Danio rerio: one gene and its partners. The protein of the gene in region 1 interacts with the protein of each later gene in a pairwise test. Links are inferred from orthologs where the notes say so. Each region holds a gene or a part of one and is shown on either strand. Other genes may lie near its edges. The genes, in order: fhl3a, mrm3a and hipk1b.

What was found.
Region 2: the proteins of fhl3a (region 1) and mrm3a interact in binary tests that used the Homo sapiens proteins (3 or more experiments, as listed by UniProt). The two-hybrid records come from large-scale screens. The link is inferred for Danio rerio from reciprocal best matches to the Homo sapiens genes FHL3 and MRM3.
Region 3: the proteins of fhl3a (region 1) and hipk1b interact in binary tests that used the Homo sapiens proteins (3 or more experiments, as listed by UniProt). The two-hybrid records come from large-scale screens. The link is inferred for Danio rerio from reciprocal best matches to the Homo sapiens genes FHL3 and HIPK1.

The regions. Positions count from the first base shown.
Region 1 is NC_133191.1:36,956,172-36,959,838, reverse strand, and holds part of fhl3a (four and a half LIM domains protein 3), read right to left. Parts: coding exon 3,500-3,667; intron 2,947-3,499; coding exon 2,760-2,946; intron 807-2,759; coding exon 655-806; 3' UTR 1-654. UniProt on the Homo sapiens protein: Recruited by SOX15 to FOXK1 promoters where it acts as a transcriptional coactivator of FOXK1.
Region 2 is NC_133190.1:18,619,383-18,621,840, forward strand, and holds part of mrm3a (rRNA methyltransferase 3A, mitochondrial), read left to right. Parts: coding exon 1-39; intron 40-124; coding exon 125-292; intron 293-2,458. UniProt on the Homo sapiens protein: S-adenosyl-L-methionine-dependent 2'-O-ribose methyltransferase that catalyzes the formation of 2'-O-methylguanosine at position 1370 (Gm1370) in the 16S mitochondrial large subunit ribosomal RNA (mtLSU rRNA), a conserved modification in the peptidyl transferase domain of the mtLSU rRNA.
Region 3 is NC_133186.1:2,720,298-2,723,763, forward strand, and holds part of hipk1b (homeodomain-interacting protein kinase 1), read left to right. Parts: intron 1-342; coding exon 343-495; intron 496-1,917; coding exon 1,918-2,061; intron 2,062-2,335; coding exon 2,336-2,547; intron 2,548-3,047; coding exon 3,048-3,175; intron 3,176-3,466.

The DNA of each region.
Region 1 (3,667 bases):
TTCAACAGTCACGCATTTATGTGACTTATATGGTGTGTAAATGCTTCAGCTTTGGGCGTATGACTTTTATTTTACCCAAAACTCACCATCTATCATGCATTCATTGCCGTTCTAACCACTTTGCTTGGCACAGAGTGTTTGGAACAATTCTAAATGGGATGTTCGGTCACTTTAACAGAACACCAAACCTTTGACCTTTGGGTGTTTCTGAAGGAATCTGTTTGAGTTCTTTTACAGGCTGCAAACACAGACTACATCCACCCATTAATGACTACTACCAGCTTAATAACAGTTCTGACTGGCCGGCAAAAATAAAGAAGGCGATAACTAGTAGGCAGATCAGATATTTTTATCTGTGCATCGAGGCCTGTACATTAATGGAGTGTTGATACTGGATTGTGCGGTGGATTTGAACTCAGCGTTGCATAGGAAGCATCAAGTCTTGTTTGTCCAGTTGTAAACCAGCAAGTGTATGTTGAGGGTTGTGATGATTGTGCGAGGGGTAGATTGCTGGTTTGCTGTTATGTTAAATAGCAGTATCAGCATGGGCGTTACTTGAAATGGGTAGTTCTTGGGTGAGGGCACAGCAGTGTATAATAGTGTGTGTGTGTGCATGTGTAAAGGAAGGTAAGGCATGTGCATGAGGGTTGTATTCTATAGGGTGCTGTTGCAGTTGCGACAGAGGATCTCATCTTGCTCGGGGAAGAAGCCTGCTCCCACCAGAGAGACAGAGCATCGAGAGCAGGTGAAGCACGGCTGGTGCCATTGCCGGTCCTCAAACGAGATGTACTTTCCCCCGCCAAAACCTAAAGAGAGATTTAAACCGGGTTAGTTCTCAGGAATCAAGATGCATGATAGGAACTAACAGTGACATAAAGATTTTTGTATCACAACTTATTTGTCAACATTCCATCTCCATTAATGAAACAAACTAAATGCAATTGGCTCTGATAACACTATACACCAGCTGCTGATGCTGTGTAATGATGTTGATGTCTGTCAGCTTAGAACTCATGGTTCCTAGTGAGGGTGCAAAAGAAACCAGGAATATTTGCCCTAGATGGAACATGTAGTTCTTGAGGGACACCATGGTGACTAGTTCCAGTTCCTGTAACTGTTTTCCTGGTTGCATTTTAACTAGGAACTTAAAATTGATGTAAGCTAGCTGACTGCAACTTCAAGTGTGGCACTAACATAAATTCAAGAACTGGAGGTTGGAGGATCAGCCATGATCAGAGGTGTGTTTTTGTTGTCTGTTGTGTATACTGTACTTAAGAAACTTTTACTGAAGTGGAAAATGATTTAGCCCCAGCAAAGGGCATTTAGATAACTAAAACCATGTAAAGTTCCTGCAAACTCACAAAGTCTGTATCCATATAGATATCTGATAAATGGAAATGTGTGCAAATTACAGATGAGATGCAAGTTCATATCTGTATTTCACATATAAAATAAATATTAAAATATTGCAAAAATGGCTATTTATTCACGTTTTTAACCGTTGATTTGTTGTTGTTTTAACAGGCATGACAAATATGTACATGTATGTTAAAATATGGCGGTCTCCAAAATTAAACCAAGAATAGACTTGTGCTGAGTCCACCAGTCTCATTAGTTAAGGTTAATATTAAATTGAACTAATTAATAAATGACTATAAAAACTATATGTTTATTAGACTGTTGCACTATTTTTGTTGTCAATAGGCCTATTGTGTGCACAACGTTTATATATTTATAACCACCTCTAAGGAGTCTGGGGGTTGCGAGTCACTGGCATTGTTATTTTAGGGGTCGAAGGCTGAAAAGTTTGGGAACTCCTGCTTTAAATGACGCCGGTGCATCTCTGATGTATTGTCTACTCGCCATAACTGGGTGTAATACAGCTAAAGCAGTAAACTGCTGCAGTTTAATTAATTCAGATCTTTTGTATATTTAGATAAATCAATAATGAGAAAATTAAGGCCCTTAAAAGCTATTAAAAAGTCTTTATGATGTTTCTACAAGGTCTTACATTTTGTTTAAAAGTTGACCAAAGTGTTTGACTCCAATAAAAAAAGCAAAAATATATTTATTTTTTTCCTAATATTAAAAATCAGTGTGCTCGATCCACACAATTGGTTCAAGCTTCTCCGTCAGGGGGATTTCACATAGTTTGCGACAAACGCGAGAAGGTGATTTGACGCTCTCCACATGTACACAACCTCTACATGTACACGTCACACAACCATAGAGCGAAACAGATGGGAAAATGTAAGTTTGCGTACTCCTGGTTGGAGAAAGATGAGTTTAAACAGTGGCTGAAGCCTGTTGCTGAAAACAATCGCGTAATTTATTCTTTCAAGCTTTGATTCTTCTGAGCTTATCTGAGTTCTGTTGCATGGGTGTCCTTCATTGATTTATTTAACTACAGCTGTTGAATGTTAAGTTCAACATTTAATATTAAAGTATAATAACATTCCAATTATATTATTTTTATTAATATTACATATATTTTATGTGAAATGTGCAACCCAAAAATGAACTTGTATGTCATATATTTAATTTGCAAATATTTCCATATACAATATCAGATTTCTATATGGGATACTTCTGCAATTAGTTCCTTCTAGGAATTATGAAAACATTTCTCCTGTGCAAAAGCTTCTTACAGTACCAGAACTATGTGAAAACCCCCTTTTGTATTTTTTTTTTTCAAGTGTTGTGGGAGCACTAGTCCACCATCAGTTTTTGAAACAAAGTGACACTACTGCATCATTTACCTGTAATTGGTTTATTGCAGGCTTCACACTTCTTAGCATACAGATTTCCGAAGCATTTGATGCAGTATGGGCTGTCATCACGAGAGGTGAAGTGCTGGCCAGCTAGCTGGACTTTACAGCTTGTGCACACAAAGCACTCCTTATGCCACGGCTCATCCCTATAGGTCACACCACCTTTAGCCAAGGCCTGAAGTGGAGAAGATGGAAAAGTAACATTTAAACTTTCATTAAATTGATTAGCATTAAAAAAACAACACCTTTAAATTCACTTTAATGGACTACCACTTGTACTTTATACGTTTAGACAAAAATGTAGCTTTTATTGAGCAGCCACAAAGAATTTGAGACATCAGTTTTGAGACTTTGAGACAATCTTGAGACTTAAAATATCTTTTCATACATTCTAGATTCGTTTTCTAATTAGTTTTGGGTAAAATCAAAACTAACTGTTTCCAGATTTAAAAAAAAATCTCTTGTGTTTCACATGCAAATAGCAAGAGATAAATGATTGTTTTTTTAAAACAATAGAGCCAAGAGTCCAAACAGATGGTGGCCTGTCAAGACAGGATGTGAAATTGACAGGCAGAGTTAATCAGTGACCAGCACGGCGTCTGATATTCAACAGGAAGAAGAAATGAGGTCAGAATTTGGACTTTTTTTGTGGAGGAATGAGTGCATGAACTGATTCGAAACACATGGTTACTTATTTTAAAGCTGATGAAATCTCTCTCACCACTGACCTGTTTACATCGAGTACAGCGTGGTGCGAACTTGTTCTCATAGCAGGGTACGCAATAGTGGTCATCTTTATCTGGGATGAAGGACTTGGAGCCTATTGGCTGTTGACAGCTGTTGCAAATGAAACAGCCCTCATGCCATGTGGAGCCGGCATACTCGAGCTTCCTGGT
Region 2 (2,458 bases), on another chromosome or scaffold:
AGATGTGGTCTGACCTGGTCACTCCTCAGGGTCTTATTGGTCAGTTGCTGGAGTTGGTTTCGAAATGTAGTTTTCTTTTAAACAGTAAAACAAAAAAATATCATTGTTTCTCTTAAATTCACAGCTATTTTCTCAAAGCCTGATGCCTCCCGCCTGACATTTCCAAAGGACGCTCGTCTTCAGTCTGTCCCTTTGTTTCTGATATGTGACAATGTACGAGACGCTGGAAATCTGGGAACTACTCTACGCTGTGCAGCAGCAGCAGGCTGTGACCGTGTTCTTCTATCCAAAGGTGTGTTTTACATACGTTTTTATTGAAAAACAAACCAGTTTGACATCATTTGGAACAAAGTCTGGCCAAAATCTAGTTTGTTGCAGGAGGTTGAAACAGCTTGCCTAATTGCCCGTTTCCACTGAGAGGTATAGTACGATACAGGTCGGTACGGGTCACCTTTGTCAAGCTTGCGTTTCCACTCCCAAAAGGGTACCCTTTTGGTGGGTGTGGTGTACAACAGAAAGTTTCAGATGACTTCATTTTTACTCAAGGAAATGTCCCAGTAAAGCTGTACGGGTTGTTCACATATCATAAGAGTAGCATTTCTCACAAAACAGATGCTTTATACACATGAATACTTGTGTATAAATGTTTATTACTTACCTTTCTATAAACATGACTTGATTATAATTGCAGATCAATGACAAAATCAGTTATATAAAATAAATATATAAATGCAATATATATATATATATATATATATATATATATATATATATATATATATATATATATATATATATATATATATATATATATATATGTATACTTATTATTACTTTTTAATTATTTATGAATAGTTAATTTGTTTCTATTGCAAAATTTTGGTTTAAAAACAATGTATTGCTTAATATAAATAACTAGGCTACAGTATTTAATGTGGGAAATCATTAATTAAAGTTATTAGAAAATTAAGCAAATACAAACTATTTAATTGCTTGAGTAAAATATTAATATCGTGTTATACATTTTTGTAAAAAGATTTTGATTACATATAAAAGGTATTATTGCCTATATTAACTTGCTATTATTTCCTTCATTATAAATGAATCCATTATATAAATTAAACTTGTTCAATTTGGGCAAGATCGTTCAGCAAGGCCAGCAAACGAGTATCTGCTATATTGACTCTGTCAGACAATAATGACTGATAGAAAACTGTTCAGTCTATTATAATGAATGGCGATCGGAAACACTGTTCCCCATTCGCCCGTCTCGATCGCAAAATTTGTAAAATAAAGTAAACACTATTGTTTATTGTTCACAATATTTATTGACTATACATATCAAAATATATCGATGACTATGTCCAAGAAGACATTACTAACATTTACTTCTGTCGTAACCATATATGGTTTGCCTAGATTGTGTGTGCCAGATTGTGTGTGCCTAAAACGTGTGTGGTTCTGCGGGCCTGCAGCAGGATATAATTGCAATGGGTACCAAAGTGCTGTACATAAAACACATGCAAATATACACAAAACCAAAACACATAAACCCACATCACATGATTAAAAGCTAAAGAAAATAAGTATTTTCAGTGATCTCTGAAAAGACTCAAAAGTTGGAGCTGTTCTTTAGGAGAGTGGAGAGTCTTGGAGCTGCTACTGGAAAAGCTCTATCACCTCGACATTTTAAGCGTGATCGTGGGACTGTCAAATAAAGATGATCCTTAGAGCGAAGAGATCTCACAGGTTGGTGTATATTAATTAGCTCAGAAACATACTCAGGGGCCAGCCCATGGAGAGATTTAAAAACACACAGCAGTACTTTGTACTGAATGCTAAACTGGATTGGCAGCCAGTGTAGAGAAACCAGTACAGGTGTAATGTGTTCTCGTTTTTTGTGTGTCTGTTAAGAGCCTGGCAGCTGCGTTCTGGACCAGCTGCAGTTTTGAGAGAGAGGCCTGGCTCACACTCACATACAATGCATTGCAATAATCCAGACGAGAAGAGATGAAAGCATGAACAACCTTCTCCAAGTCACTGAAAGAGAGGACAGACTTCAGCTTGGCAATATATCTAAAATAGAAAAAACTATTTTCGACAACCGCAATAATTTGCCCATCAAATTTAAGCTCAGAGTCAAAGATTACACAAAGACTCTTTACAGAGGAATGTATTTTTCCAGGAAGCAATGACAGACTGCCATTAGAATCCCTTTTAAACAAGTGGCATGAGGAATGGGAAGCATTAGAAAATAATAAATGATGTGAAATATAACCTGAAATTTAAAGACATTTTAAGACTTGATTTGATTAAGTGGTTTTTAACAGATGTTGTATTGGACATACAAGAATGACCCATGGTTTTTTGCTCCAAGGTGAAAACCCCTTACTATAAAACACATTTTACTGGACTGTCCTGCTTTTAAGGATTCCTGGAGACTTCTTTATGAAATGAA
Region 3 (3,466 bases), on another chromosome or scaffold:
AAGGAATCTGCTATATTGTTTTAATGCAATTAAAGAGCATTTTTATTATACAAGACTAAATTAAATGTTTATTTATTTATTGCCACATTTGCAACTTATGGCTATTTTATGGCAAAATGGATATACATTAAAATATTACACACTTAATAACTTAATTGCCTAATAACTTGCCTAATTCTGAGAGCTTTCTCATTCTCCATATACTGAAACCATCTCACAATGTTCAAAGTCCTGGTCCAAAGACGTTCTCTAAGACTTCAGTAATCTAACTGTAATCATTCAGAGCACCAAGAACAATTTTGTGCACCAAAAAACTCTTAACATTTCTTCTTCTTGATGCAGGGCATCTCAGAGTGGTCAGCACAATGGTGTCGTCCAGCAGAACCCACATATCCTCAGCGGCATCAACCCCACTCATTCCCTCAATCGAGGAGCGACTACAGCTACTCGCTCGCAGAACAAGAGGAGCCGCATCTGCTGCGACACCAGCAGCAGGTACTGGCCCATTCACTTATTTCAAAGCTGCCTTTAATATGTTTAATTGCACATTTCAATCTGCATTTGTTCAGTCAGGGTTTTTTTATTGTGTGTAAAAAGATCAAACACAAGTGCTTGATTCTTGCCGTTTGGATTTAATATTAGAGATGAGCATACATTTCATTTCAAATTAGACAATTAATTTGTTTATAATTGAAACATGGCAAATGGAATGGGACGACTGCATAAATAATAAATTACATTAAATTAATCAGAAAATAATTGAAACACACTTTGCAAATTATAATTTTGAGACCAGGCATGATCAAACTGTCTATACTAGATGTCGAATTGGACATTCTAGGTTGACTCATTTATATTTACTGAATAACGAAGCACCACCTAAATGTAATTACTGCCAAGCTGCTCTTACTATGAAGCATATTTTGTTGGAATGTGAAAATTTGAATACCATAAGACAACATTTTTATAAGAAGAGTAGTTTGATGGATATTTTAAAACGGGTACCACCAGGATGAATCTTAAATTATTTATCAAAAGTTGAACAGAAAAATCATATTTAACTTTGAATATATTTTTGTGTGAATTTTATTTATTTCTAAGTAACTTTTTTTATTGTAATACGAATTTTTATATATATCCATTTTGCCATGAAATAGCCATAAGTTGCTAATTTCGCAATAAATAAGTAATAATTAAATAAATATTTTGAAGTTAGTCTTGTATAATAAATATGCTCTTTAATTGCATATATATATATATATTTATATTTATATATATATATTTATATATATATATTTATATATATATATATATATATATATATATATATATATATATATATATATATATATATATGTATGTATGTATGTATGTATGTATGTATGTATATATATATATATATGTATGTATGTATATATATATATATATATATATATATATATATGTATATATATATATGTATATATGTTATCTAAGGGTGGGCTATTTATTTGATTCTTTTTATTTAGTTTATTCTGTTTTTCTATGCTGTTGTTCCGATGTATTCCGCTATTGTTATGGTGTTCTGTATGCTGTTGTTCACATGTTAAAATAAATCAGCATTTTAAAATGCAATATTTAATGTGTCACTCAAAATGGACTCGTCAATTTTTTTTTTAAGTTTTTAAGTAAATAATAATTTAATATTAATCTGACCAGGTAACTGTTAATACTTGGTTAATGAGCGGTGGTTGTTGGTTGGCAAAATTAACCGAAGTGAGCATCCCTAATATATATATATATAATTTATTTTTATTTTTTTTTATGTGCAAAACTTTTATTCCTATTGGTGTTTTGTGGGATTGAGTTATTATTTTATTTTCTCCTTGAGGCTGTTAAATGTTTTTGTACTTACCTTGTGTGTGTGTGTCTCATCAGCAGTGCTCTGGTGGCCTCTCAGTCTTACAGCGCTCTTCTGACTCAGCCAATCATCATCTCCGACACCCCGAGTCCTGCAGTCAGCGTCATCACCATACACAGCGACTCTGAAGACGAGGATGAGCGCAAGTTTCACCCCGCCAGGTGACCACGCTTCCTGCTAACATGTTTTTTTTTTTTTTTTTGGAGTTCCTAGAAAAAAACAGAATATTAAATGAGAGAGTAGTGGATGTAGCTTGTTTTTTTTTTTATTTATTTACTTGAAATAATTTTACTACTAAAAATACAGATTTTGGAAGTAAGCATGTGTTTGAATCCTGCAGGAAACATATTGGTATTTTGTTTTTCCTGTTTTATGATTTTATCCTTGTGAATATTCATTATTTTATCTCTAACACTTTTCTCTTCTCTTTTGTAGCTGCGGCCCCAGCCATAGGACGAATGTGATCAGCTGTCTGACCGTTCACGATTCAGACTCCTCCACCGCCAGTCCTTTAACCCCCAAACCCCAGAACGGTCACATCGGGCTCCAGTCCTCACGACTGGCCAAATCTCTGGCAGTGGTGGCGCCGACTGTCAAAACACAGCCTGTGGAGAGCTCCATATCGGCCAAAATCCCACCGGCTCTAGGCAAGTACTCCATTTCTTGGTCAGTTATTTTATTTTATTCTTTTTATTTCGTGTGTTGTGATGGGCAGCATTGCCTTTTGTTTTTGTTAGTATTTGTTTTTCATTATTTGTTTTAAGTTTTTTTTTTCCCGTTTAGTTTGTTTTTCCATTTTTGTTTGTTTGTTTTTATTTATTTTTCATATTTGTATTTTGTTTATTTTATTATTTTTTGATTTTGTTTTTATTTTATTGTTTTTAATTTTTGTTTGTAATTTATTTTTCATTTTGAATTGGTTTTGTTTTAGTTCAGTTTTCGTTTTTACTTTGTTTCTTTTTCGTTTGTATTTTATTTGCATTCTTATTTATTTATTTTTTTCGTTTTGTTCCGTTTTTTTTTTTTTTTTTTTTTTTTTTTTTTTTTTTTTTTTTTTTTTGGAGGGGGGGGGGGGGGGTGTTTTTTGTTTGTTTGTTTGTTTGTTTGAGAAATATGTAGTAAAAAAAAACATTGGTTGTGTGTTTAGGTCTTCCCCAGAATTACTACATGAAGCCGAAGAGAGCTGCAGCTACAAGACATCAGAGCAGCTCAGGAGGAAGCATCAGTGAGCACCAACAGGAGCCCAGCAGATCTCAACCACTAAACCTCAGTCAGGTGAGCACAGAAGACCTGAGCTGTGTCCGAAACTGATCTTTATCCAATAAATACTAGTGATAAAAGAAACAAAGCTTCGAAAAACAAAGCGTCAAAACAATTTTATACAAAAAAAAAAATTTGTATAATGTTTAAGAAATGTATTTTTGTAATTTTGTCTTGAATATAACTCACCAATGTTGCTAATATGGCAGACTTAAACATGTTTTTTGTTTTGTTTTGCATTATCAATGCTTTTAACATGGGATTAAGACTTAAAAACTAACTAAAAGTGAAGAAATGCAAGTAAAA